Alligator mississippiensis: one gene and its partners. The protein of the gene in region 3 purifies or fractionates together with the protein of the main gene of each other region. This does not show direct contact. Links are inferred from orthologs where the notes say so. Each region holds a gene or a part of one and is shown on either strand. Other genes may lie near its edges. The genes, in order: CREBBP, RNPS1, DAXX and RELA.

Region 1 (7,774 bases), on a different chromosome or scaffold from region 3:
TGGCGGTGTTGGTGGCAGTGAGAGCATGGTGGCAGTGGTAAGTGGGGAGCTCCCGCAGATGCTGCCGGCACTGTCGGCAGCGGGGGGACGGGTGGTGAGCGGCGAGCACCCACAGACACCACTGGAAGTGACAGCGGTGGCCAGCAGTGGTCGCTGACTGCCTGGAGACACCACTGGTGGCAGGGGGTGGCAAGCTGCAACCACCTACAGGCACCACCGACAGTGTCAGTGGCACTTTTTTTGACAGGGTTCACTGCCATGCTCAGGGAGTGCATGTGCACCTCCTATGCATCACCAATGGTACCCTGCCCCCCACAGGGCAGAGCCCCCCTCAACACATGGACTACCCTACCTTTAGGGTCCCAGGCCTCTCCAGGGGTGACAGCTTCCCCCCCCCCCCTCGCTGGGCTCAAGCCCCCTGCTCATTCCCCTGCTCTTCTCCAGCCTCTAGAGACTGGAGATAAGCAAGAGAACAAGCAGGAGATTGGAGAGAATAGGAGAATGAACAGGAGGCTCATTCCCATCCACCCCTGTTGGTTCCCTCAGCTCCCCATTTGTTCCCCTGCTCCCCATTCATTCCCCGCATCCACGGTTCATTCCCCCTGGCCCCTGTTCATTCCCCCTGCTCTGCATTTATTCCCCTGCTCCTCACTCATTCCCCTTGCCCCGTTCATTCCCCCCATCCTGTTCATTCCCCCCACCCTCTGTTCATTCCCCCAGCTCCCCACTTGCTCTCCCAGCCCCCCCTCCCCCCCCGCCCCACTCACCAGCAGTAGCAGAGAATGAGCAGGAGGCTGGAGAGAGCACGGGAAGTCTCCAGCTTATCTCCAGGGGCTTGTCTCCAGCCTCCTGCTCGTCTCCAGCCCCCTGCTCCTTCCGCTGCTTGTCTCCAGCCTTGGGAGGGAGCAGGAGGCTGAGACTGCCCCTGGAGACATTCCCCTGATGCCTCCAGCCCCCTGCCCCCCTGAGGCTGGAGAAAAGCAGGGGAAGGAGCAGGGGGCTGGAGACAGCCACAGAAACATTCCCGTTGTCTCCAGCCTCGGGAGAGCAGGGGACAGCAGGGGAATGCCTCCAGGGCTGTCTCCAGTCCCCTGCTTGTTCCCCTGCCATCTCCAGCCTCCTGAGGTCCCCCCCCTCTCCAGCCCCCAACCCCCTGCTTACCTGGCAAAAGCTGGGTCTGGGTCCCTGCAGCTTGCACCACTGCCTGCCCAGCACAGGTAGGCAGCATGCTTCAGGAGCAGAGAAAGGGCCAATCATAGAGATGCTCTGGTACTCTGCCAGAGCGTCTCGGGAGGACTAAGCCTCCAGTTGCCTGAGGGCATGGTCCCAGACCCAGTTTTTTCCCCCGGGTTTTTGTTTGACCCCTGGATATCCAGGGGTCTCATTTTCTTGCAGCACACGGAACATTTTTTCACTCCTTCAGTGCCCCTTGCCCTGCCTCAAAGGGGTTTGAGATGGGGCAAGAGGCACATGTGCACTCGTCTGGACGCACCCAACTTGTTTGCTGGGATGAGTTTGGCTGGTGCTGTAGTGAAGTTTCATAGTTGTCATAGGCAGGAAAGACTGCTGGGCTCAGGTGACCCCAGCAAGGTGTGTGTCAAGATGCTTTTTGAAGTTCACCAGGGTTGGTGACTGTACCACCTCATGGGGGAACCTGTTCCAAACCCTCGGCACTCGACTGAAGTAGTAAGTAGTCTTCCTGGAGCTATACCCAAAGGATGTGTGAGTTACTATGACCCCACTGGTGGATCCTGTAAATCCTTATCTGAATTAGAAGTTTTGTCCTCGTCTTCTGAATCAGCAGATGTTGAGTCAGTACTGGAAAACAAATATTGCAAAAAAACCCTGACGACTGATTAAATTATTAGAGTGAACACCTTGTATTCAAGACAACTAACCACTGATGGTTAAATGGGAAAGTTTTGGGTAAAGAATTAGGCCATCATTCAATATTCACTGCTTGAACATTTTGAAAATGGCGTAAGTTGTAAGGAAGTTGAGAGCACTGTGATCCATTGTTGCTTGTGACAGACAATATGACCTGATTTCTCTCCCAGAGGCTGAATCCTCCCACACTTCTGACATAAAATGTATGTTCCCTCTTCCCAACTGGTACAAATATATGACAGTGAAATTGATACATTAAAAGAGTGTATGCAATTCATAATTTCCTCAATGTTAGATGTCCTTAATTACTGACAATTGAAGAGCAATGAATATACTGTTACCATTATGCTGCCTCCAGTTAAAATAATGGACATATGAAAATGTTTCTGGTCCCAGACTTTGGGCATTCTAGTAGTTACTGAGATCCTTGGAATTGGAGTTGTCTATTGTGAATCTTACAGGACATGATTGATTTTCTTGAGATTTGAAAGACGGAATTCAGAGCCATAACAGTGCAGCTTGGCACCAGGGGCAGTTTTAGCACACACGATAGTGCTGGACGCCATGCTGCTGGTGGTAGAGGTGCAGCCAACCACTAGCCATGTAGCTAGTTATTTCTGAATCTCTGCCCCTCTCAAAAAAAGCAGAGCCCACACCTCTGGCCCCAGGTGCCCCTGCTCCCCCCCAGGCATTTATGCTACTGATATAATTTAACAAAAAATAGTAATTATTCACTGGAATATGCATTAGTAAGGAATTATATAGCAATAGGAATAATATAGGTATTGGAACCATTAATTTAAAGGGAACTATTAAGTCGTGCTATGGCTGGCAGCCATATTAAGTAATCCCTTTAATAACTAAAGAAATTCATAAAAGTAACAAATATAATGTAGCAACTGATAAAACAGATTTTTTTTTAAATGGAAATAGATTATTACAGCTTTAAGACGCATAAAATCTAATATATCCAACTAAAGCAATGTATTAACTCATCTGTACAATCAAGAGATCTTATGTTTGTTGCCCCCATCCACCTTGTTTTCTACCACCTCCACTTTTTTTGCCTTAAAATTATATTACAAGTAGTTTGACAGAAACAGTGTTTCTGTGTGCACTTCTGCCACCATGCAGAGGCAGTGTGATGGCTCTCTGCATAGAGGCAGCAAGAATGTGTACAGGTAAATGTTTGCTGGGGAAAGTTTGGCTGGTGCTGTAGTGAAGTTTCATTGTTGTCATAGGCAGGAAAGACTGCTGGGGTCTCCCTTAGACCCTTAAGTACGCCCTGATACTGCCTGAAGGTGGGCAAGTGCTGAGCAGCTGGATGGGCAAAAACATGGGGATCTTGCATGACAGGTGTGCTGACGGGTGTTGGGGTTCTGAAAGTGTGAGAGACATTTCCAATGGCAATGTGTGGCAGGTACACGAACATATCACAGGGTCATTCAGGATTATGGAGTATCGGCATATGGAATATGGGGGAGCATGGAGGAAAGATGAGCTGGAGGTGTGGGAAGTTCTGAACCCTCTAGAGAGGCAAACTGGACGGGAACACTGTGGGGAAGCAAAAGGTGAGAAGTGTGGGTGGGCACTGTAGGATAGGAAGTAGGTATGGAGGAAGGTGCTAGGAGGTTTGGACCTATAGATAGACAGTAGAGCAGTTGCTCAATCCGTGTTACGCAGAGGCGGATGCCGGAGTGGATGATGGTGGGCATCACAGGAAGGTGGAGAGGGAGGTGTAGGCAGAGGGTATTACCGGGGGAAGGCAACAGGGTGAGCACTCTGCCTCGGGCAGCGTGTTGGAGGGGAGCAGATGTGTGACCGGTGAAGACCAACCTGTGTTCAAAGTGATCTAAGATTACAAAATTGTCCGTGTAAGTTAGTAAAATCTGCCGGGTGCTGCCACGGGCGAGGAGGCACCACCTGGAGGCAGAACGGGGGTGAGCGCTGAGGCGAGGTGGGGAGAAGGCAGCAGGGCAGGGAGGACAGGCGCTTACTGGCCGACTGGCGGGGACATGAGGTGCTCCAGGGGCAGCGGGCGGTGGGGACCACGGCGTGGCGGTGCCCGGGGGCAGAGTGCCCACAGCACGGCGGCCGTGCGAGGGGCGCAGGACCCAGGCAGGAGCCTCGGGGGCGCTGTGGCTACAGCGGCGCGCACCGGGCACCCCATATTTGCATGTCTATTTGCATACGCTTCCCCCTCCCCCGCCCACTCCGGCCGCGCTCGGCTGTTTCCGCGGCCGCTCGTGTCTTTCCGGCGATGGCGGGGGAGGGGGCGTTCCCCTGCGCGGTGACGCAGCGCGCAGGCCCCGCCCCGCCCCCGCCCCCATGGTCTCTGGAAAAGAGAAGAGAAAAAAAAACTTTTTTTTTTAATTGAGGAATCAACAGCCGCCATCTTGTCGCGGAGCCGAGCGCGGCGCGAGCGGGAGCAGGGCCGGGCCGGGCCGGGCCGGGCCAGCGAGGCGGCCCTCCGGGGCACGGGCAGCCGCACGGAGCGCCGCGGAGGCCAGGCGGGCTCGGCCAGCGGGGCAGCACCGGCCGGGGCGGGGAGCCGGGCGCCGCCGCCGGGACCGGGAGCCGCGGCCGCCGCGCTGCGCTCATTGTTTTTCTTGCCGGCGGCGGCGGCTGCTCGTGGGTGGGCGGGCGTCGGGGCGGCCGAGCGCGGAGCGGAGCCTGGGCCGCGGCCGGGGTCGGGGCCGGGGCGAGCCCGCGCGGAGGGGAGGGGACGGGCCGGGCCGGGCCGGGTCGGGCGCGGGGGGGGCGCTGTGCTCCCGGAGTGACTGACTGAGCCGCCATCCGGGCACCTCCTCGCCGCGCGAGGGCGGGGGAGCGGCCGGGAGGAGCGAGGCGGGGGGGGGAAGGGGGGGCGCTGGGCTCTCGCCACCCCGCCCCGAGCCCGAGCCCTCCTCCCTGCGGCCTGCTGCGGCGGCGGCCCGGCCCGGGCATGGGGGAGCGGGGGCCGCCGCCGGCCCGGCACTGAGCGGCGCTGTTGTTCGGCTGCTGGCGGCGCCCGACTCGGAGCGCAAGAGCTGGCGGCCCCGGCCGGCGGGCGGAGCGCGGCGGGGCTGGGGCTGTGACTGTCGAGCCGGCTGCCATGGCGGAGAACTTGCTGGACGGGCCGCCCAACGCCAAGCGACCCAAGCTCAACTCGCCGGGCTTCCCCCCCACCGACAGCACAGGTGAGCGACCGCGGAGCCGGCACCTGCGCACCGGCCTCGCAGGCGGCTCCGGGGCCGCGGGACCGGGCTGAGGCCGGACAGGACCGTCCCCCTTGGGGCTCGCCGCTGAACAAAAGCCCCCGCTTCTCTGGCAGTCGCCAGGCCCGCCCCGCCCCGCGGCTCTAAGCTAGGGGATGAGTCCGGGAGGAGCCTGACAGCCCCAGACCTGGCTGGAGAGGTGCCCCCCCCCTCCCCCCCGAGCCTGGCTGCCCCGTCCCTGCAAGCTGAGCCGGCCCTCACGGAGGCCAGACTTGCCGGACCCCCATCCCCTTCTAGCGGAGCTCACTGGCGGCTGGCTCGCCTGTCCTCCAGCTGTGGCCGCTGCTCCAGGACCGGTGACGGGTTCCCCAGAGCTTGGCAGGACCTAATGGAAGTGAAAGGGATCATTCCTCCCTGCCTTTGCTTGCTTATGCCCTCAGATAAAGGTAAACTAGAGGTGCAGTTGATCAGAACTTGAGGATTTCTGTAGGGAGCTTTGGAGCCATGTCACTGCCATGGTCCAGGGATTTCTGTACTTGCTCTTGGAAGACTTAGTGGTGTCTCAGCTTGACTTGCATTTAGACAGAATTATTTGTGCCTATTCTGTGCATTTTACTACTTTGTCAAGACCACATAGTTAGCCAGGGAGCAGGAATAATATCTCCTGAGCAGTCATTATGTGGTGTAAATGTGCCTTCATCCATTGGGAAGTGCGTTTGAGAACCAGAAAGATTTCATTCACAGTAACTACTTCTGAAAGTTTTTGGCTTTGACTATATAAGTTCTTTACATTCTGGGGAAAGGAAAAAAAATGTCAAATTTCCCTGTTTAAAATTACTATTTGCTTGTTTGGTGTAAAGAATTTATGTTTTCCTATACTTACCTTTGTAACTGTTATGACCTGGTTCTTAACTGAAAAGTTGGGTCTTACAAATAGTCACCTTAGTCTGCTTTTGAGCATTTTCCTATAGAAATTTGCAGGTGTCTTATGCATGCCAGTTGTATGATGTCTTGTGTATTGAAAATGCTCACTAGTCTCAAAATACGTACACTTCAACATAGTTGAACAACATAGTTGTAGTTTTTGCAGTAATTATTTATCACAGTAGAAAATATCTTTGAAAATCATGTTAGGAAAAGGGGAATACTTTTCTATTTTGAACAGATTATTTTACAGTTTATTTTTGTAAACTTTTATGTGCATGTGTATAGTTTGAAATTTAGGGTAGTATCTGAAAAAGCAGTAACAGACCAAGAAGGCATGTTTGACACCCACAAGTCTATGAAGGCATGTGAATGTTTAGTGAAAGGGACTTTAATTAAGCCTGATGCTTTTTACACTGAAAAATTATGCTGTAAATGAAAGATTAGGTGTACTGCTATTTCAGCTTATTTACTATCTGTATTTGACTATGTAGTAGATACTTTTGCCATTCTTCTTTCATATAATGTGTAGCAAAGGGAGGAAATGCTTGAAAGATTATAAATGATTCTAGCTTTTTCTGCAAATAACTGGATATCATGTTGAAGAAGAGTGACATATAGTGAATTTCTATATTCACAAGAGTGAATATAGAAATTATAAAATGAACTGTGGAACCAAAGAAAAAAGGAAATCGTTTATCCTAATTTCTCATATAGTTGTTATAGCGTGTAATCCTGGCTGGTAAAATAACAACTTGAAACACTGACTTCTGAAGTTAATAGTTTCTCTTTAGAATTGGGACACACTAAGTTATGTCCCAATTCTGCAAACACTTAAGCCTGTGAGTAGCCTCAGAGAACTCCTTGACAGCAGTGGTGTGAAATGTTTGTAGAGTTGAGGGCCTTGGTCCCTCAACAGTGATGATGTCCGAAAAGTCGTTTTTCTCACATGTACCTTTATAGTGTCTGGTCAGCATCTAAAAATATTCATAGCGTAATACTTCTGAAAAGTTTGAATAGCATTGGTTTTATTGTATCCTTGGTATATTGAAAGGTTTTTATTCCATCTATCTTTGAGTTATCTTTTTAATACTATTTGAAAGGTGAATGAATGTTTCCACATGAGATAACAGGTTGTTAAAAAAAAAAAAAAAAAAAAAAAAGGTGTTCATTATAATGTTTTACTCAAATTCTGACCCTAAAATGAGCTCTTGCCTGTTGTTTTAGTAATAGAACCTTGTGTTGCAACCTGGAAAGTTGCCTTTGATCACAGTTGTTTGGACAAATAGGTTTGAGCCATGTGCTCTTAAAAGCAATAGGCTGTGTAATGTGTAACACTCAATTGTATTTAGTGGCATACTTTAGCTGTTTGCTGCGTCCTTTTGTGAGAGATTAAAATTGATTCAGGTGTAAGTAATGTAAAGCTCAATTGTGCCGTTCTGTTACTAAAGATTAAGTTTGCATTCCTGCAAGTGCTTATATACCTGCTTAATTTTAGTGTTCTGAATGGTCTTAACTGCACAGGTGGACCTGAATGTTTAATGTGCATGCTGTTGTTTAATTTTTTTCTGTTCCTAGTTCATATGATGGTCTGTGTAGCAGTTGGATGGAAGGGCCCCCCTTTTTAGAGTAAATATTTAAGTATCTTAATTTTTATGGTAGAAGTAGTTGATTAATGTTAAAAGCAGTGAAATACAGTTACTCCATCTACATTACAGTGATTATAATAAGAACTGCTTGAGGCAAATAGTCTAGCATTTTGTACT
Region 2 (6,993 bases), on a different chromosome or scaffold from region 3:
TTCACTGTCAGAAGGCGAGAGATGTTTCCAATTCCTCACCCTCATTGGGAGAGTCCTAGTACACTATACAATTGTTTCAGGCCTAGAAAATTGGGACAGAATCATTACCTAGTGCTGGATTTTTTATTATTCTCTTTGAATCCTAGCAAACTCTTCTTTTTCATTCCTGATAACTCCATTTCCCCTTCGGAGGCGTGGAAAGCAGCACCGAATGGATCTCACTTATCTCAAATCTCACTTCTAACTCCTTGATTCTGAGAAACGGTCCCTAATCGAGTGCAATAAATTCCAAAGAGCAGCCTAGTGACAAGATAAAAGGATTTAAAAAGAAGAAATTAATTTATTGGCACAAAAAACAAACCTACTTTGCAATACAGGCAGCACACATTGGGGATCAGCTACTGAAATAGTTTACACAGGGCACTGTGATCAGACGCACTGCTCCATGACTGTTACAGGCAGCCTAAGGGCCTGCGCATAGTTGCATGTTTTTGTCTGCTGAAGAATTCGAACAGGTTTCAGAACACTATCTGAAATGTCATACGAGTACAAAGGGTACAAACTAGCCATTCAAGATAGGTGGCAGATGGGTCAAGCATAGCTTTTAATGGATTATTTTTTTGCACCCCAAATATACAGGTAACTTGCCTTGTCACAACTATTCTGTCTCAGAGGATTAAGGGCTTCTTTTACCAGAGCCAATTGGTGCCACAGCATATGTTGGTAAGGAAAGGGGCATTACTCAAAAGCCTTGAAGTCCCCCTTCTCTGTCTAAGCAAACTGCTTCCATAGCTAAGTCAGCTTGGAACAAGCACCTGAGCTATGGAACCAAAGTTGCATACATTGTTGTGACTTCAACAGACTTTGTTTGAATCCCTCTAAGGGGGAAGCCTACCTGGGCTCAGACCTGATGTACCTGCCCCCCCCTGTACTCTTGATCCAAATGAACACCCCAATATTAAATAGCTATTTAATTACTAGCCACAAGCTGAACCCCAGGTGTAATCCAAGAGAGGTCCTAATATGCCACATACAACATGCAGTCCCAATACATCTTCACATTGTAACTGTACTGGTGAACTGTTTAATGTTTTCGATAAGAAGTGCCTGCAGCTTGCAATCTGCTGGTAGGCTGCTGCTGTTTGATTTGTGATCACTTCTCTCCACATAAATACCCGAAGCTTTCTGGGGAGCAAATTCTGTGATCACCACAAATGCAACTGAAGCACAAGCAGGAACCTAGACAAATAAAACATTCAGAAGACTACAAGTCTAGACTTTATTCACATCTTTTTAAACCACCTTTGCACTGTGATCCTACAGAGAGTATGTAATACCAGTAACATTAAATGAAGTTTCTTTAGCCAACACACAAGGAAGTGATGTGGTTAGTACTGTGTCTGGTCTTTCCTTTGACTTCCCAAGCCAGGTGTGGCTAGGTATTTTCAGGTAGCTTGACAGGGGGCAGCCTGCAGACATGAATTACCACTGAGGCTCAAACACACTTTTGGAACAAAACAACTAAACTGCTATGCATTGCACTCCTAATCCAGTCTAAAATCACTTTCCAGTTTCACCCTTATTGAAGTGGGGGAAATGTCATGCTCAAAACAACCTTCATCTTTGCCATCATTCTACTCACTGGACTTAATAGTGCAGGTGCTGAAATTAACAGTGAAACACTGCCTGCATAGGAACAATTTTGCCTGATATGCAAATTAACCCTGCTGTGTCCTTTTAGTATTAAAATTAAGAACATTTTCAAGTGGTGCAAGCATTCACTGCCACCAAAGCTTCCGTCTCCTTTTCCCTCCATAAAAATGTGCGCGCCTTCTCTCAGTACCATGCAACCTGCCCTGTTCATTTGCTATCAGCCAACGGACTGCAAACATCTACAGCCTGATGAAACAGAAACTGAGGTCTCGGAGAACAAAGACAAGGCTACATGCGCGCTTGCCCAGCTATCACCCATGTTCAGTCACTCGCTAGAAATAAGCCATGTGTCTAAACATGGGCATACATACATGGGGATGGCATATGCAAGCAATACGCTTCCTTCCAGTTACCAAGAACATTGCTTTGCCTACAAATTTAGGAATCTCTCAAATGAAGAGGAGGAGCACAAGGCATGTGGAGCAAGCATTCGGGTGTTACATGATTCTTCTTCGCTCTCCTGTTCTATGCAGTGGTGTAGTGACAGGACGCACCGTTACAACAGTGACATTTCCGGGATGGACAAAGTAAACCCTACTCCGCTACAGACTTCCTGCACGAGCCTGGGCAGGGCATGTCACTGCGGTGTGCTTCAGCTCCCACTGGCTACAGGAGGCTAGCACTTCCAGGCTGAGAAGAATGTGTTCGTGCAGCGGGGCCCGCGGGCTGCAGAAGGATGAAGCGGGGAGCCCCGCGCAGTTTGCGGGTGCCGGGGCGAAGCTGCGGCACGTTACCGTGCCCGGTGCATCGTGGCGGCGTCGCTGCTGGTCGTGCCACGCGAGCCGCCACGCTAGGAACGGAGCCGAGACGCAGGCTGAGGAACAGGGAGAGAAAAAGCAGACCGAGAACAGAGTCGACTCAGGGGCCAAGAGAGGCGGCCGCCACCGACGTGCCCCTACTCTCCGGCTCACTCAGCAGGTGCCCGCTGCCTCCCCGGGCCGTCAGTTCCCCCCGCGCACAGAGCAGCCCGAGCCAGGAAGGGGGCGGGGAGCGCGCTCGGCCCCGCTCGGGCTGTCCCCGCAGGGCGCGGTAGGCCTCGGCGCCAGGCTCCATCCTCGTCCCGTCCGCCCGCCCGCCATGTTCTCTCGGGAGGCTCCGCGCCCCTCCCCCTGGGGCCCTCCGGCGGTCGCGGGGCCCCCGGCGCCTCCCCCCGGCCAGATGCAGCCGGATGCCCGCGCCCCCCTCCCGACTCACATCCTCGGCGCCCGCCGCTGCTGCTCCCCAACCCCGTCGCGCTCCACAGACGCGCCCCGGGCGGGAAGGACCCGAGAGGCGCAGGCTGATGGCGTCATCAGTGGGGGGGATTTAAAGGGACAGAGCGGGCCGCCTGAGCCCAGGCAGCCTCCGGCTCTCGGCTGGCCGCGCAGGGCAGCGCAAGCCTCCTCCCGTCCCCCTCTGCAAACGTCCTCTCTTCGGTCCGAGCCTGTCTAGCCCTCGGCCGCCCCCACCCCCGCGGCCGGTGCAAGGTGCCGCATCATTCACCTCAGCCGACGTTTCAAAGCCTGGTGGATCCCCCCGGCCAGGAGTTTCTGCAATAAGTGGCGGGGCTGAGCTCTGGTGCGGCCGGGGCCGGGGCCTGTCTGGTGCGGAGCCCGCGCTGACCCGGCCTGGAGCTTTCCGCCGGAGACCGAGGGGGGCTGCCTGCCACGCGGCCTCCCGCACTCACCTGTGCCGCTTCCCCTCTTCCTTGCGGCTCGGCCGGCGCACGCGAGCTGATCGGGCCCCGGAAGACTCACCAGCACGGCCGACGAACAGGCTGGGCAGAGCGGGTAGCAAGAGCAGGATCGAGCCGGCGGCTGGAGTCGGCGGAGAGCTGCAGGGAGCAGCCGGTACCCGGAGAGCCCGGGACGCGGGTAGGGAAGGAGCCCTGGTGCTGGGAGCCTGGGTGAGAGAGAAGAAATGGTGCCACTGCCGCAACGAGCTGCGTGGCAGAAATCGCCTACTTGACAGTGCTCTTAAGTCCGCTCTGCAGCCCTTGTTTTCTACCCAGTCTAGCAACCTCAAGTGTGACAGCCCCGGCATGTACCTCTGATCCACCAGTCAGAGCACTGTGCACCTGCCCACTGCCCCGTCCACAGACAACGGGAACCGGGAGCTAGTAAAAGATGCGTCCGTCCTCGCCCTCAACCCCGGCAGCAAGCCGCGCGGCGGGTGCAGAGAGGAGCTAGTCTGGCCGAGGGAAGGCTGCTGCTTGCCTGGTTGCCTGCACGTCCCCCGGGGACACGCGCGCTGGCCCCATCATGACAGAGCCCGGTCCATGCAGCCCGGCAGCGCCTGGTGGGGGAGAAGGCAGCTCCTTCCCAACCCTGAGGCAGAGCTGTCCTTGAAAGAGTTAAGGCAGGGCCCCTCCCCTTTGAATGCATAAACCTCACTCCTGACCTTCCCAGCAGCCCTTGCTGGCTCTCCCCCAACCAAACAAAGAGGGCAGGAGCTTTTCAAACAGGAGCTTTCCACAAAGTTTGGTAGTGCTGGGAGGACAGCAGAGTATGCTGAAGAACTGGTCTGCTCCCAGGTCTGTGCTGTCAAAGCCTGGCTGGAGAGAGCAGCAGCACCAGCACTAGCACTGGTTTAATGCCTTCCTCCAAAAGGATTGTGGTGATCTCTCCTGGTTTGCTGCATGTAGACACTTCAGGGGTTTGTATGCATGTTTACTCCTTGGCTTTAAGTTGGTTTGGTTGTTGGGAATGTAGTAAAAGGATAGAGAGGAAGTGCAGGGGGAGTCTGTGCAGGAGGGCTTGCTGCCTTGCGGAGTGTCAGTTTATGTTATGCTGCTGGATTCCTTAGCACTGCACTCTGCTTTTAGCACACTTGCACGTCCCTTGGGGCATAGCTTGGCTGCTATAAATGGGGTCCCGGCTACCAAGTGTCCTGTGTGTATAAGTATCCAGCAGGAATTCTGAGAGACTGTTGTCATGTGCCTGAATTCACACAGCAAGTCAGCGTCTTGCTTGGGGTGAGTAGTTGGAGACAGCAGCATTGCCTAAACTGATATTTCTCACGCTGGGTGTGCAGTGAATTTCTGGAGGGCACATGAGGCTCCTGGGGAGCTTGTAGTGTGGTTGCTGGGGCATAAGACGTGTTTTATTACACATGCCATGGAATCCTAGGGGTATGCAGCAACATAGCAATTTAAATAGGGGTGTGTGACCCACTTCTGAATGAATGAGGAAGGGATGGACTTTAAGAGGTGCTGATTTCTGATTCTGCCTCGGGCCCTGTGCTAGTTTCTTCATTTCTGGTTCCCCATTTGTACACAGACATAATAATACTGCTGCCTTTGCAGGTGTGTGTGTAGAGGTGGTGGGGCTGTTGGGGATTAATTAGTCCATGTTTGTAAAATATCACTTACGGGTAAATATTATTGTCATGTGGATTAAACCCTTTAGTGACTCAGTGCTACATCTATTTTAATTAGTTACACACAGGTGTTTATAGAAAAGGGTGTCCTGGTTGTATAGTAAGCAAGTGACTTGTTAGCTGGTGGTCTAATTTTGCAGCTGGCTAAAGCACTACATTTTTATTGTCTCTTTAATTATTATGAAGTGGGGGAAGATACTAGCACCATAGTTTTGCATGGCAAGACAGTGTAGCACCATACCAGCCCTGCAGAGGGTTACATAGTAGTGCCAACTCCTCAGACAGTGCCTCAGCTTTGATCTTTGGACCCTGTTTTTTATGTTTAAAATGAGGCTTGCGTGACTCTCTGCACATGACTGAGGGAGGCTATATGGGTGTTTGGCTCTGTAGGGTGTGTGTCACTTTGATAGTAAACAAGTCACACAGCCATGAGGATTTCATTTCTGTGCTCTGAAAGTTGTAAACCTTTCACTTGAATTGCATAGGAAATCCTGAGATCAAAAGCTGTTGCTGCAGGGGACAGAAATGCAGTAGCTGCATTTGTTGGGTTACCTAGCTTTGAAGCTACAGAAAAGGGATTTTTCCTTGCCTGTTCTTAAATATTGCATCTTCTGAAAATAACACGGACAACATCCACTTGGCTGACACTGGGGAACACCTAGAAGTTCTAGTGTATCTAACTATAGACTCTGAGCTTGCTTTGTGCCCTTTGTGTCCACTGTAGTTTTTATATTTGCTTTTTTGTGACAATCTTGCTGCTAGTTCATATCCACAGTTTCTAATGCCATACATGGGTGAAGATGTGTATGCAGCAGTCTGTTTGTGATCTGGCCCTGAAAATGTGCAATGATGTATGTGCCTTTGTTTTTGTTTTTCTTCAATGACATTTTGAAAGTGTGCCCTGACTGTATAAATGTTTGCTGAGTATTGAACTTCCTTAAACACCTTGATCTTGCTACAAAGAATAAGGGTTACATGACTGTGTGCGATGACTTCCTTGTCTTTTCTTCTAACAAGTTCAAGACCCCCAATAAGTTAAAGAGGTGTGTGCAGTTCTTAATCTTGAAGTCCCCCAAGCAGAAAAGTGTTTCTGGGGAAATTGGAGACTTAGAGTTACAGTAGCATTTTTAAGCCAGGTCAGTAACAGGGAGCAATTCTCCCTCATGTACTTTTTGGTCGTGCACTGTTCAAGTAGGCACGATGAATTTGTCACATCTCTGGACTTGCTAGCTGATAAGTCCTCAGAACTCAAAGAAACTCTTCTGGAAAAAATGTTACTGTCTTCCTCACTTGTAGTGTTAAGCGATCTAATTTGGAAAATTGCAGTTTCTTACTAAGCAAACCTCCTGTGTGTGCTTTTATACTGGTTTACAAACTTTTTAAGGTCATAATAATTAAAAAAATATTTAATCCAACTTTTATTTTTAGGTCTCCTTCCATTTAAGGATCTCTGTGCTTTATGAACATGTTTGCTTAGCCAAACCTATCTCTGAGGTAGTCTCTCTGGGCTTTGTATTCCCCATTTGTATCATGGAGATTAAATGCCTTGCCAAAGGCTACATCGAGATAATGCTTGGTTGTGCTATAGAGCCTAAATATCTTGCTTCCAGGTGTTCCACCTTATCTATAAGTCTGTCCAGCCTTGCTTGAGTCTATCCTTCCTTTGATGTACCAGCAACTGATGTCCAAAGAAGTGGAAGTGCTTGTTCTGCTCCTCCCCTATGGAGGATAAGTCATCATGGTTCACATAATAGTGCTGCCTTCACCCAACCAAATTTTCTGGCAGGAACTAATTTCTCCCTTGTGATCATGCTGCTCCCAGTTCTCCACTGCCTGTGAAGAAAATGAGAACTTGGTAACACAACCTACTTGCACAGACACTTCTGAGGGATGGGCTTTTCACGGTCAGCTCTGGTTTACATG
Region 3 (7,251 bases):
CCCTGCCCGTCTACGGATCCTTTCTTCCTCCTCGCTCTCATCCTGCAGCTGGGCATAGTGCGAGATGACGCTCTCCAGCCGATTCAGGGCTGTGGTCTGGTTCTCCCGCAGACGCCGGGCCAGCATTGGGTCCGTCAGTGCAGGATCTGTACCTACAACCACGAGGGAGAGGGACAAATAAACTAAGCATCCACAGCCCAACCTTCTGCTCGAAAGGCACTAGCGTCCCTGCAACCAGATTAGCCAATAGACCCCACAGCACGTAAAGAAGAGGCTCAGTGCTCATCAGCGGGGTCCTCTGTCTACCACCTTGTGTAAGCAGGAGAGAGGCACAGCTCTCCCTGGAGCAGCAGTAGACAGAGGCCCCTTGGGCCATGCCAGCCCCACACACCCTGCACTCACCAGGGCGGTAATGGTCGGTGAGATGGCTGCCAAAGTTGTAGATGAGGTCGAGGTGGCGGCGCTCCTGGAGCCGGTTGCCGACATCCCGAAAGGCATCCTGGGCCATGCTCTCTATTTGACGCTTCTTCAGGGCTAGGCCATGGCGGGCACTGGCCTTCTGAATGACCTTGAGGATGTCAGAGTAGTCAGGGAAGATGTCAGGACGGTTGATGAAGCGCTCGATGCGACGGTTGACCTCTGGGTAGCGGGTGCCACGGTAGGGGATGCGCTGCTCGATGACGCGCCCGGTCAGGCTGCTGCACTGCTTCAGCTCGCACAGGCGCTCAAAGATTCGCATCATGCGGCGCTTGAGCCGGCTCTCCTGCAGGTAGGTTGAGTCCTCGCTGTCCATCTCCGTCAGGTCCAGCTCCCGCTCCTGTAGCCGACGGATCTCCCCCATGTAGATGTGCAGCAGGTTCTCCAGGTACCGGATCTGCCGCTTGGAGCCTGTCCCATGCCGCCCTGCCCCAACCTCTGCCTCCATGGCTGCCAACTCGCTCCTGCCCGCCTCAGTGTCCGCTGTCTCATGCTCCTCAATGTTGTTCTGCTCCTGATTCGTGGCAAGGGGTGGGCAAGGAGCGGGGACAGCACTGATGGCCAGCTTACGGCGCTGGGTGTTGGCCTTGAGCACAGTGCATACTTCATTAATGTAGACATACACCTTGTGGTGCCGGGCCTGCACGCGTGTCAGGCAGCGGCTCAGCACATTGCGGAATTCAGCTGAGCCCAGGAATGCGGGACTGGCCTTCTGGTGCCGGCCCGTCAGGTAGGGGACCACCTCGGGGTGCTCCTCCGTCAGCTGGGAACAGCAGGCTAGGAACTGTTGGTGACAGACGCACAGAAAAGAGGCAGGTGGGGCTGGGGTCAGCCAGGCACGGTGCTCCAGGAATTGAATGGGGTCAGGTCAGGGTGGGGGTGGGAAAGGGAAAAGATAGGCAGGGAGCAAGTATCAGTGCTCCACGGACTAGGGGAAGGAAAGCAGGCAGGTGGGGAAGGGGTCAGGGGTCAGCCAGACACGCTCCAAAACCTGGGGGCACAGGGGGAAGCCAGAGGGGGTGACAGTGAGCAGCTGGGGCCTGGGCCCCGCTCCACCTCCCCGTGCTGGCACAGGGGAGCCCCCCTCCACCCCCAGGGCAGCCTGGGGAACTGAGCACAGCGCGCTGGGCAGTGTGCACTGCAACCCACCCTGGGCTGGGGATAGAGAGGACCAAGGAGCCTGGGCTGGCATGCGAGGGGAACTCACGTCGGCAAACAACTGCTCGTTCTCAGCCTGGAAAGCGCCCCTGTCCTGGGGGGCCGTGGCGACAATTGTGGGACCATCCAGGGAGGCCTGGCTGGGGGGCGGGGGGGAAACGGCATGGGCCAAGGGGCCATCCTGGGGGGCGCAGCTGGTGGGCAGGGGGGAGGTGGTGGGCGGGGTGGGCGGCGCCTCATGCCCCTCGTAGTCGTCGTCGTCCAGGACAATGATGCTGCCGTGGGGCGCGGCCGCCATGGGCGCAGGCTCACAGCGGGGGGGCGCAGCGCATCCCAGGTGGGCGGGGGGCACCTCCGCGGGGATGGACCTGCGGGCGGAGGGGCGTTAGCACCACCAGGGGCCCCCACCCATCTCCCCGTAGCCCCGCCCCCGCGGGGCCCGGGCCCGCGGAGCCCGGCGGGGGCGGGGCAGCCGCACGGGCCCACGGGACGGGGAAGGAGGGGTGGGGCCGGGCCCGGGGCAGGCGGGGCCCGCCCCCCGCGCGCCCTCACCCGCCGCCGCCGGCGCTTCCGCGGGGCCCGAGCCACCGAGTTCCCTCCGCGGCCGCGCGCAGGACCGGAAGCGGGCCCCAGTGTCAGGTGCGGGCGCCGCCATGCCGCCGTACGGCCGCGCCGGGCCAATCCGGGGCCGCGTTCGCATCCGGGTCCTGGCCGGGCCCGCGGCGCCGCCATCTTGTTGCACGGCGAGCGGGGGCGCCCCGGCGCGGTACGCCTCCCATCGACCCCGCCCCCGCGGGCCGCGGCCCCCGGGTGGCTCCCGCCCATCCTCCCTCCCGCCGCCGCCGCCGCCCCGCGACAGCGGGAGGTGCAAACCGGCCGCCCCCCCGACCCCCGGGGCGCCGCCATTTTCCCGCGAGGAGAGTACTTCCCGGTGTCGCTAGCCACATGACCTCACTGCCCACGTGACACCACCCGACCAATCAGAACGCCGCACTCTAGCTTCCCCCGCCCACCGTTTAAGAGGCGCGGGCGGGGCATGACTTGGACCCAACCACCTTCCCGCGCGGGGTGGAGGGGGCGGGCGTTCCTCTCCGTTGTAGGAGGGGGCGCGCGCCACTGCGGGGGTCTGGCCGATACCATTCCCGCAGGGCGGGGGGTACGTGCTCTGCGTCTGCTCCGCTTCCGCAGAAGATGGCGGCCTCCACGAGACAAGCCATTAATAGCGCCGTCCACGCGCCGCTCCGCCGCGGGCTGCTAAAATGGCATCGGATTGATAGCGACTCAGCGCGCATGTGCGCACCCGCACCTCCGGGCAGCTGCGTTGGCGGCCCGAATGTTCTGCGCATGCGCTTCCAAGTCCGTACAACAAAATGGCGGCGCCCAGGACATTTGCAGTTTCGGTCAGGTGGGTGGAGACGGCGGCTGCGGAAGGCCAGAAAACCCCAGTGCGGCCAAGAGGTGGCTCTATGGCCCTCCCGGGGCTTTGTCAAGCTGCACGGTCTGCAGCGGCGGGAAGCGGCCCAGAGGCTGTCTCCCAGGGTCGGGCTTTACGGTTACACGGTGCATCTGAATGGTGCTGGGGGGGCTTTGCTGTCAGGGAACAGATCCACCGCAGCTGCAGCTCCGAGGTGGGCAGTCCGTGCCGCCTCTTTCAGCATGGAGCTGTCCACTGCCCCACGTGTCCCCGCAGCCGCCACGTGAAACCCAAGGGAGCGGGGCCGGGCCCTCGTGCCTCGGGGTCACTGCAAAGGAGCGGGCATTTGCAGCACAGCCGGTGCGCCAAGATGTCCATCAACCCCCCGCGGTGATGGTGGCAGCGGCCTGCGAGCCCTGGTGCAGGAAGACCGCGAGCGCTGGCTGGACACCCCTTCTCGTTCCCTGTGACTCCGGGTGGAAAAGAGGCTCAGGATCCAAGCCAGGGCCTGGTGGCAAAGCCGAGGCACATACTGCCAGGTCCCTCGTCCGACCCATTGCACAACTTCCTCAGCCCCCATCCACCGGCAAGCGTGAGCTTGGAGCAGGCCTTGGCCCGCAGACACCACAGGGAAAGGTGCCCGGCCCAGTGCAGATCCCCAGTCGCTTGCCTTGGCACGGCCATGCAGTTGAGTCCCAACTCATAAGAACACGATCGCCGCGCCCTGGGTGAGACCCGGTCGTCCTGCCCAGTCTCAGGGTGGGGAGTGAGTGCTGATGGGGGCGGTTGGTTTTCCCCCTGTTCCTCTCCCACCTGCAGCCTCCAGCTTTTCAGGTCTGGAAACCTCCGACCCAGAAGCTGTGCCCCTCGCTCTTGTGCTCCATAGTGACTGATGCCCCTCTTCTCCAAGGATGTGTCCAAACCCTTTGCAAACCTGGCTGAACTCGCAGCTTTCACCACATCCGGTGACAAGGAGTTCTGTCCTTCAATTGCACGCGGCATGAAAGACAACTTCCTGTTGTGAGTTTTAAAAGTCCTATCCAGTGCTATTATTTTGTGACCCCTGGTCCAATTACTTTTCCATGCTTTACAATCACTTAACAAAGCAACAGCATGCCGAGTTTAGGCCCTGACGAAGCTACATTTCATGGTAAATTTAAAATTGAGCTTCTTTTGAATGCTAGAGTCATGGCTGCTTCATTTTCTCCAAGTTGGTGGCTCTCAACCATCTCAGACTTGAAGCTCCTTCAATAGACTCCAGGCTGCCCTCAAAAAGTGGTAGCCCTTAATTTGCAGGTTTTTTGAATGTAGAAAATAACAGAGCAAATTTTCTGGTGCAAAGACATAAGAAAGATGCAACAGGCCAGACTGTTCTTAGCACTATGAATCCTGATGAAAAAGCTCGGGGTTTACTTTGCCAATCACATTCGCCACCTAATAGCACGAGTGTTGTGTGGCACTTTGACTCACCCCTGAGAGGATCTCACAGCACCCTGGTGGGGAATCACTGCTCTAAGTTCCTAGTCCAGCAGATGGAGATGGTCCTGTTACCTATGACCAGAACTAGCCCTGTCCATTGACAGTGAGGCTTCTGATGGGTCATCTACTGCACTGGGTAGTCATCGAGAAATCAAACAGAAGGAGGGCTGGAAGAGACCTCCAGAGGTCACGTCTTATTCAGCCCCCTGCCTGAGGCAGGATCATCCCTGTTCAAACCATCCCTGACAAATCCACAGTCTAAACCTTCACCAGCTTTTGCACTCTTACTCTTTTGACCTCCTTCTACAGTGACATCTCCAATATCTTGTGGATTAAACAGCTTACAATGCATTCAATCTTTCCCCAAATAAAACCTGTTAGAACATGTGATGCCTTCCATTTAGGGTAGATTCTTGCTGATGCCTCCCTCTTTTACACACTGGGTTAGCACATCATGCCACATAATCATTGAACACACAATACAGTCATGCGTTTCCAGCCAGCATGTTGCATAAGAATTGGTTAGTACCCTCTTTCTGAGCCTAGCACTGACCTACGAAGCACCCATCTGATGGGAGCCACTGGATACATCACCTGTTCTTTACCTGTTCAAGGCATTGGAGTGGAGCATTTGCAACCCAGCAGGGCCCACAGGTCTGGCTCCATTATCCCCCAGTCTTGGTGTCTCACGGCAAAATCCGAAACCTAGGCTGGGATCTGTTGATTCAACCCTCTTAGACACTTTCCTAGCATCAATATTCAAAGCGCTTGGACCTTGCATGGATACTACTACCCACAAGACTTGTCCCAGATGGTATGAATTCACAGGTCCATGTTTTCACTTTCTTCTCTAAAGTGGTTTCTAGTCCAGTCGTCATTTTTACTGTTACTTGGTACATTTTAGGCTTATTATAATGGCAACCTGTACTTGCCATGGCACAACATTGTCAAAGGATACATGTGGCTTTTCAGGAGGGAAACCATTGCTATCTGCTGTCCCCATCACGTCCTGGTTGTGCTGCCACCGCTTGATCCATGACTGCTTATTTGTCAGTTACCCCTGCTTATTGTGCAGCTAACCTTTCATGAAGACCATTTCACTCTCTGCCACCTGTGCACACCAGCCCAGCCCCCAGCCATGGGCCTACAAGTCCTCAGTGGTGCAGCAGGCAGAAGATGTTCGAATCTCAATGGCTGCAAAGGCAGATGAAGGCTGCAGTGGACCAAGATCCCCAATTGTCTTGGTTTCCTTGCCATTGGATCAAGATCTCATTCTGTCAAGCTGATGCACAGCAGCTTCTCCATGATAAAAGAAATAATGTACAAGCATCTTCGATGGAAACAGTTTTTCCAGCATATTCTTTAAGTCCTCCAGTGGGCAGCACCTAGTGATGATGGGAGCAGGCCTGTGAGATCTGGAAGCTCCTAGTTATGAATTGGCATGATGATGGCAGTTACAAGAAGGTTGTGTAGCACTTGGAGCCAGGACTGCAATCTGATGGTTGTCACTGTAACTGAGCAGCCCTCTTCAGGATCTGCTCTGCTTGCCCCCCTTGGGAAGGGGCCTAGAAAAAGTTGCTCTGGTTACCTCTTTCCTAACTGCATAACTGCATTCAGTGGGATCCCCTTTGCTGCAGTCAAAATCAACAAAGATACGCAATCAATTTTGGGACCTGGAACATCAGGACCTTCACAGACAATGTTAATAGCAAATGCCCAAAGTGCTGCACCACAATTGTGGCTCAAGAGCCCAGGTGACACAGCATTGACATCACTGTCCTAAGTGAGAACAGGTGAATGGGAGATGGGCAGCTCAAAGAACAAGGAGGCAGCTATACTGGAAAGGTAAACAGGAAGGAGAATGCTGGCTTCATGGAGCTGGTTTTTGCCATCAAGAATGAACTCAACCAATGCAATGACTTCCCTGTTAGAATGAATGAGCACCCCAAGACTCTCTGTTTTAAACCGGCAGGAATTCAACATGTCACTGTCATCCATCCCCTATGCCCTGACTCTTGACCCTGCTGACAAAACCAAGGAGGAATGTTATGCCAACCTCGACCAAGTCCTTTTTGGCATTCCAGAGGAAGACAGACTTATTCTTTTCAGCTATTTCAATGCCAGAGTTGGAAGAGACTCAAACCTCTGGACCAGAAGCATCAACAAGAAAGGAGTGGAGAAAAGTCAACTCCAACGGCATACCCCTTTTGACCAGATGGGCAGAACACAGACTTGCCATCACCAACGTCCTGCTCCACCAGAAAAATAGGCACAAAATATGGCAACACCTGTGATCTAAGCATTGGCACCCGATTGCCCACATCATTGTTCATGCCTAGGGTGACAGATGTCTGCATCACCTGAACTATGCTAGGAGCTGACAGTTGCTGGACTGATCGTCAACACATCTGCTTGGTTATATCATTCAGACTGGCTCCGAAATGACAGCTGCAGCAGAGGCAATGCTGACAGGTCAGTAAGGACCCAATCAAGCACAATCTCTTTCACCAGTGCCTACGTGAAAACAAGGACAATTCCAATCAACAACAGTGGGAGAATGCCAGCAACACTTCAGATGCCTTCAAGTCCACTGGCTTCTGCACCTGCATGGAGACATGTGGATTCACTAGCAGGAAACATCAAGACTGGGTTGAGGAGAACAACCAGGAGATCCAAGAGTTGATCGACCACAAGCGCAAGGCCTTTTGTGCTTGGCAGAACAT
Region 4 (7,055 bases), on a different chromosome or scaffold from region 3:
CACCCCGCTATGACATACGTGAGTAGACAGGCAGTTGCCATGTTAGTCTCAACTCAGCCTCAAGTCAGGGCAGAGATGCACCTTTAGAGACTCACCACAGTGTGTACAGACACCCCCCCCCCAAAAGAGATACTTCTCCATCTTTATATCCATCTACATCTATTTTTACATCTCTCTCTATTTACTCTTCTCCCCGTCTGTTCCTCCATCTACCTGCAGCTCTCGTTATCCACCTTCATACTCACCCGCAGTTTTCTATCTCTATTTGTCTTTACACCTGTGCTCACCTTCATCTACCTACATGCACATCCATCTATCTTTACATCTGCAAATACCTGTACCTATACCTACCTCTCTATAGCTACCTCTATATATGTCAATACCTGTATCAAAATATACTGACCTCTATTTTTTTGTCTACACTTGTATCTGTCCACATCTGCCTATACCTATCTCTGTTTTTCTTCATATCCATACCTATATCTATCTGTATATCCGTCTATACCTGTACCTACCTACCTGTAGCTATCTTGATATAGCTAGCTTTATATCTGTCTACACCTGGATCTTTCTCTATACAGCTATTTCTATATAGCTATCTTTCTATGTCTATATCTACATATCTATACCCGTTCCTATTTATCTAGATCAGTACAGGTATAGATAGATATATCTCTATCGCTACTTATCTATCTTTATATCCAGGTATACCTGTATCTAGCTATATTTATCTCTTTTTAGCTATCATTATATTTCTCTATACCTATATCTAGCTATCTACACCTACTTTTATTTCTCTCTCTTTATATCCATCCATATTTAGGTATCTTTACACTGGTCTGTACCTGCATCTCTCTATCTACACCTATATTTATCTAGCTTTATACCTGTCTATACCTGATACCCAGATTTAGGTCTAGGTCTCAGTCTCTACTTCTCCCTGTCCCAGTGAGTTTATCAGGGGCCGACTCCCTGCCGCCTACCCAACTTCAGGCTCACGCGGCGAACAACGTCTCTAACCAGCCGGGCCCCGGGTCTCCAGCCAGCTCCTGGAGATCTCCAGGGATGGATCCCCCCCCGCCTCTCTGGCCAGCCTGCTCCAATGCCAGATCCCCTCAGAGCCAGAAGGGTCCTCCTTGTCTCCTGCCTCTGTTTCCCCTGCAGCAGCTGCCAGAGCCCATCCCGTGCTATCCCCGCCTTTGTCTGCTCTTCCCCAGACTCAATCCCCGCAGATCTCTCCCCCTCCGCCCGTCCTGCGTTGCTCTGCGCTGGCCTCTCTCCAATCCACTCCCCTCCTTCTTGAAGTGCGGGGCCCAAAACTGGACCCAGGACTCTGGGTTCATCGTATCACATGAGCATGCGTGCACACGCTGACACGCAACGTCCTGCACACATGTCCCTGCATCATGCACATTATCTACAATATCGTACATACACATGCGTGCCCCTATACTGCACATACCCACACATGCCTGTTTTACATCTACCTGTGCGCAAACATGTGTGTGTGTGTACGCATGATATAGGAACATGTATGGGTAGATATGATATAGGGACCCGTATGGGGGGGGTGTGTGTGCGCACAATATAGGAACACTGGTCCTTATATCACAGACATGCATACATATCATTTTATCGTACATACCCACGTGTCCCCCTGTATCGCATGTAACCATACACACGCGGGATCCTATACTATGCATACACACATGTATACACGTCCCTATATCGTATGCACGTGTGTCTTTATATTGTACGCACCCGCACACGTTCCTATTGTGCGCGCGCACACACGTCCCTATCCTGTATACACGTCTCTATATCGTATGTACACCTGCCCCACAGCGTACATACGTCCATATCTCATATGGACACATACACACGTGTCCCTATAATGTGCACACCCAGGAGTGTACCTGCCCTGAATGCATACACACGTACAGCCCTATGTCGTAGGCATGCACACTTCCGTACACACACAGCCTGGGAGCAGCGCATGACCTCAGCCTGGGAGCAAGGCTCCGACTGCCCGGGGCCAAATCGACCCCAGGGTCCCAGCTGGGCCGGGACGCCTGGGCGGGGAGCGGGGCTTGGGGGCCCCGACGCCTGGGCTCTCCCGCGTCCCCTCCCCGTGACACACGCACACGCCCCTCTCCAGCCACCAGCACAAGAGCGGCTGGTGGCACAACGCACGTCTCCAGGCCGGAAGAGACGGTCGGGCAGAACCGAGCCCGCTCCGCTTCCCGCGCGCGCGGGGGACTCCAGGCCTCCGGCTCTAGGCTCCCTGCCCTGCTCTCAGCCCCGGCCCCCCCAGAGCTGGAGGGAGCCCCGGCCGGCTCCGGCCCTTCCTGGCAGACAATTCCTCTCCCCCCACCCCGGCCCCTTCCTGGCTCCCAAGGGCCCCGCCGCATCCGCATCACCCCAGACTCAGCCGCAACCCAGCAAGCCTGGCCCCAGGGCGGGATCTGCTGGATGGGGGGGGTCACCCCGAGAGCTCCTGGGAATCCCGTCGCCCCCCAGCCCTGCACCCACCCGGCGCAGCCCCACCCCGACCCCCGGGGGCACTCACCGTCCATCGGGGCCGCGGGCGGGTCCTGGCAGGGTGTCACGGGGCCCCGCCGCCCTAGAGGGGGCAGGGACTAAGGGGAGAGGTCCCCAGGCTGGGGGCGGCGCTTAAGCCGAGGGGGCGGGGCTGAGTGTATGGGGGTCCGAACCCCAACTGGGGGCTGGAAGGGGCGGGGCTTCGGTGAGGGCGGGGCTCAAGGAGAGGTGGGTCCTGGCCCCCCGGGGGGGGCGGGGCCGGGCCGGGTGGGGGAGGGGGTCGCTCCCGCCGTGGGATCGGGGCCCGGGTCCGACTGCGTCGTCGCCGCACGCGGAAATGCCCCACCCCATGTGACCGGGCGCTGCTGGGAAAGCCCCGCCCCTCCGAGGCCGCGCCCCCGGGCATGCAAATCTAGCTGAGTGACGTCGCGGGGACCGACCCCCGCTTCCTTCCACGCCCCCTTCCATGCAAACGAGGGCGGTGTCGCCGCGTTCCATCCCCCTCCCTCCACGCCCCCTTTTATGCAAATGACCACAGAGCCGCAGCATTCCATCCTGCCTCCCTCCACGCCTCTTTATGCAAATGAGCTTGGCGTCATCGCGTTCCATCCCCCTCCGTTCCCCGCCAGCAGAGAAAATGTGGCCTCCGCGGCGCGACCGGAAGTGACCCTGCCGCGTCCCGGAAGTAGCCTACGGGGAACCCGGAAGTGGTGCCCGGCCGCTCCCGGAAGTGGAGGCGGGTGGCTCCCGCCGCTCTCCCCCTCCCCCCACAGCGAGAGGCCCAAGATGGCGGAGGTGGTGAGTGGGGGCCGGGGGGCGCGGGGCGGGATCCCGGGGGGGGGGGCAGGACCCCGCTAACGGCCTGTCCCGCCTGCAGGGGGAGGTGTCCGAGGGCTGCCGCCTGCCAGTGTTGCGCCGCAACCAGGAGAACGAGGATGAGTGGCGTGAGTGACGGGGTGGGGCCTGGGGGGACGGGGTGGGGCTAGGGGCACGTCGGGGGACGTCCTGGGGCGAGGGGCGGGGCTTAGAGAGGAGGGGGCGGAGCTACGGGCACCTGTCCCGGGAGAGGCGGGGCCTAGAGAGGAGGGGCGGAGCCAAGGGGGACACATGGGGGGTCCAGGGGGTTGTTGGGGCAGTGACCATAGCAACAGCACCCTCCCATGCAACCTGGGGCTCCCACGGCCCCCCCCCACTCCCGCGGGGCCGGGGGCCGAGGGGTCCAGCGCTGGCAGGGACCAGGGGTCCCTCGTCCCCGTGCCGCCACGTTGGCTCCGCTGTCCCGAGCCTGGCACTGGCCTGACCTGCGTGCGAGCGGCCGGAGCCTGGCAGGGCACGGGGGCCGCGGAGCCGGGGGCCATGTTTCGTCTCCCAGCACCTCATCCTGGGCCCAGCTGCAGCAGAGCGCGCAGGATAACAGTGCAGCTCCCACACCCGCGGGCGGGTCCCTGCCAACAGCCTCTTCCAGATGGAGAGGGGCCGGGGGGGAAGAAACACGCCTGCGGTCGCTGAGTAGGAAGAGCTGGGGCTGGAGCCACGGAGCTCTGCCTCCGCGACTGGTGGTTCTCAGCCTTTTTTGTACCAGGACCCATTTGGAAACATCAGTGGCCGGTCCCGACCCACTGGCCCCCCCTGCCCCTTGTATGAGGTGGGAGAAGTGTGGGGTGGGGGGGGGCCCAAGCGGCCCCTGGCAGGCTGGAAATGTGCCAGCCTGCGAGGGAAAAACCCCGGTTTCCCACGTTTTTCCATTTTTAAAGTTTGTTCACGTACAACCCGTCATCTGTTCTTGCAACCCGCTCTTGCGTCGTGACCCACGGGTTGAGGAACGCTGGCCTGCCGACCACATCTCAGCACTGGGTTTCAGGCCACTCGTCCCCTCCCCGAGCTGGAACGAGCACCCAGGAGTCCTCGGTGCTCTTATCAGGTCCAGGGGTACTGCTGTGCCAAGTAGCCCTTAAACGTCTGATGAAGTGAACTTGGATTCAAAAAAGTTTGTGATTATACACCCACACATCATATTATCACCATCTTCATCATCATTATTATATATTATATATCATCATTATTATATATTATATACACACGCACGTGTATGTATCATTTATATAGTGTATGTGTACACGTGTATTTATATTATATATAAATATATATATATACACACACCTATATTGTATCTACTATGCATGTGTAAGTATATATTTATATGGTATACACACACAGATTTAATGTATCATATGTATAGTTATACACAAATCATTGACATATACATATATAAGCACACCCATCATATAGATTCACACGTACATTCTATATATCGTGCGTGTGTATTTAGTTAGTCAGTCCATAAAGGTGCGTATCTACCCTGCCTGCTAACAGTCTTCACCTTCCTTCAGCTGGGACTAGAACCCAGGCATCCTGGGCTTCCAGCTCTAACCCACTGGAAACCCCCACTCCACTCCCAGGAGTCCTAGCCCCTAATCCCCCATTCACCCCACATCTTTTTCTAGAACTAGAGTTGAATGCAGGTAGCCAGGCTCCCAGCTCCTAACTGCTCCATCACACCAGACTCTACATCTGTCCCAGAGCTGGGCTAGAACCCTGGTATTTTAGCTCCCAGGCCCCCTACTTTAGGCTACTGAATGCCATGCCACTCTCAGCTGGGACGAAACCCAGGAGTCCTGGCTCCAAGTACCTTCATTTATAATAAACTCAACTGCACACACATTATTTAGTATACGACTGTAGGGAAGTCAGGCTGGAAGGGGCCTCACCAGTTATCTGGTCCAGCCCCCGGCTCCGGCTGGTTTAGTCGGGGACAATCCTAATCCAGCCAAGTGCATCCAACATTCTCTTGGTGATCTCTGGAGATGGAGACTCCCCCACCTCTCTGGGCAGCCTGGTCCAATGCTCAACTCCCCTTAGAATCAGAAGGTTCTTCCTCCTCCCCTACCCCAGTTTCCACTGCTGCAGCTTGAGGAAGTTGCTGCTAGTCCCCTTCCTTGTGACCACAGAGAGAGAGCCATCTTCATCCTCTTTCTCATCATCATTTGGGGGTTTGAAGCCTGTGATCAAATCCCCCCTCAGTCTTCTCTTCTGCAGCCTTGATCCCCTGAGTATTTCCAGCCTTTCCTCATCAGTCCCGCTTCCCAGGCTGCTCCTCATCTGTGTTGCTCTGTGCTGGGTTCCTTTCAATCTGTCCACCTTCTTGAAGTGCGGGGCCCAAAACTGGACATAGGACTTCCGGTGATGCCTCCCCAAGGCTGTACAAAGTGGAAGAATCACTGGAGTTGCAAGCAACCTTCTTGTTAATACAACCCGGGAGGCTAATGGCTTTGGCTGCAGCAAAAGCTCACTACTGGCTCCTGCACAGCTTATGATGCATTCAGCTTTGTTGTCCAACTTTAGTCAGTGTGATCTGTTGGAAGAACAGAACAACGGCTCCAGAGGACCGCTGGCTTGGCCTACAGAACTGGGATAAGCCCGAGTTCCTCTGGGAGGAAGGTTGTTTCCCAGTGACGGCTAAACAGAGCATTTTTCCTGTTGCCACAATAGTCCAGGGAACACACAAGAAGCAAGAGGGGTTGGAGGATGCTTCTGACCTGACCATTTGTGTGCCCCAAAGCTGTTTCTGACCCATCTCCTGACTCTCAGTGCAGTCCAGGAAAAATGTAATTGCCAGAACAGAGAAAGCACCTGTTTCTCCCTGGTCCCATCTTGAGCAGAGAAGAAATCAGGCTGGGCCAGATGCTCAGAAGATTGCATCCAGCCCAGCCCCCTGCCCCAGGCAACACCAGCCCTGGCTGAACCATCCTGGTTTGTCCAACACCGTGATTCTCACCCGAGCAGCAGCAGGGTGCTGCAAGACCCTTTCAAGGAAGCTGCACAGTATTAGTACTGGTCTGTGCCCAACAGCTGACACAATTCACCAGAGAAACCCAGAGATCTCCAAGAGGAGCCCAGAGCATCCAGTCCCTCCTGCCCTGCTGAGTTCTTTGCAGCACAACATTTGCACTGATATTTTTCCATAAGAGGTGAGCGAAAGCAAAGACTCAGCCTTGCCTGAGGAGGAGGGTGCGGAGGGGAGCCAGGGGTCTGATGAGGTTGAGACCCACCAGTCTGAACCACCCCTTCAAAAGTTCAAGACCAGATCCTCACACAGCGTTCCCAGCATGGAGCCAGTGATCCTCAAGCACCAGCTTTGCTGGACCGGGCACTGCGCAGACACCCGATGCTCAACTACCAGAATGAGTGCTCTACTCCTGGAACAGTAATGGCTTGAGATCTCGCGGTGGCCAGAGGAAACGCTACGAGATCATGTTGAAGGCAAACCTCCAGATAGTGGGCGCCAGCACCAAGAGCTGGGAGGACCTGGCTGCTGACGGTCTCCAGTGGCATCGCAACCTCCACCGGGGGCAGCCTCTTTTGAGGGAAATTTTCTTGCCTTCTAAGCAGAGGAGAGAGAGCGGAGGAAGGAAAAGGCGGGGAATGCCAGCCTGCAGCCTGCTCTCCCGCAGAAA

What was found.
Region 1: the proteins of DAXX (region 3) and CREBBP purify together in Homo sapiens (affinity purification with western blotting; 3 studies listed by BioGRID and IntAct, with this or other methods). This does not show direct contact. The link is inferred for Alligator mississippiensis from reciprocal best matches to the Homo sapiens genes DAXX and CREBBP.
Region 2: the proteins of DAXX (region 3) and RNPS1 purify together in Homo sapiens (co-immunoprecipitation; 3 studies listed by BioGRID and IntAct, with this or other methods). This does not show direct contact. The link is inferred for Alligator mississippiensis from reciprocal best matches to the Homo sapiens genes DAXX and RNPS1.
Region 4: the proteins of DAXX (region 3) and RELA purify together in Homo sapiens (affinity purification with western blotting; 4 studies listed by BioGRID and IntAct, with this or other methods). This does not show direct contact. The link is inferred for Alligator mississippiensis from reciprocal best matches to the Homo sapiens genes DAXX and RELA.

The regions. Positions count from the first base shown.
Region 1 is NC_081836.1:24,211,088-24,218,861, reverse strand, and holds the start of CREBBP (CREB-binding protein), read left to right. Parts: upstream 1-4,762; 5' UTR 4,763-4,981; coding exon 4,982-5,066; intron 5,067-7,774. UniProt on the Homo sapiens protein: Acetylates histones, giving a specific tag for transcriptional activation. Mediates acetylation of histone H3 at 'Lys-18' and 'Lys-27' (H3K18ac and H3K27ac, respectively).
Region 2 is NC_081836.1:29,023,583-29,030,575, reverse strand, and holds the start of RNPS1 (RNA-binding protein with serine-rich domain 1), read right to left. Parts: upstream 3,021-6,993; 5' UTR 3,006-3,020; coding exon 2,908-3,005; intron 2,528-2,907; exon of another isoform or gene 2,448-2,527; intron 2,438-2,447; exon of another isoform or gene 2,208-2,437; intron 301-2,207; exon of another isoform or gene 180-300; coding exon of another isoform or gene 109-179; intron 1-108. UniProt on the Homo sapiens protein: Part of pre- and post-splicing multiprotein mRNP complexes. Auxiliary component of the splicing-dependent multiprotein exon junction complex (EJC) deposited at splice junction on mRNAs.
Region 3 is NC_081834.1:64,839,787-64,847,037, forward strand, and holds the start of DAXX (death domain-associated protein 6), read right to left. Parts: upstream 3,011-7,251; 5' UTR 2,982-3,010; coding exon 2,773-2,981; exon of another isoform or gene 2,649-2,772; intron 2,278-2,648; exon of another isoform or gene 2,188-2,277; intron 2,004-2,187; coding exon 1,685-2,003; intron 1,262-1,684; coding exon 403-1,261; intron 153-402; coding exon 1-152. UniProt on the Homo sapiens protein: Transcription corepressor known to repress transcriptional potential of several sumoylated transcription factors. Down-regulates basal and activated transcription.
Region 4 is NC_081838.1:4,258,695-4,265,749, reverse strand, and holds the start of RELA (transcription factor p65), read right to left. Parts: upstream 3,005-7,055; 5' UTR 2,577-3,004; coding exon 2,570-2,576; intron 1-2,569. Other genes in the region: histone acetyltransferase KAT5, read left to right, coding at 3,328-3,339, 3,419-3,485. UniProt on the Homo sapiens protein: NF-kappa-B is a pleiotropic transcription factor present in almost all cell types and is the endpoint of a series of signal transduction events that are initiated by a vast array of stimuli related to many biological processes such as inflammation, immunity, differentiation, cell growth, tumorigenesis and apoptosis.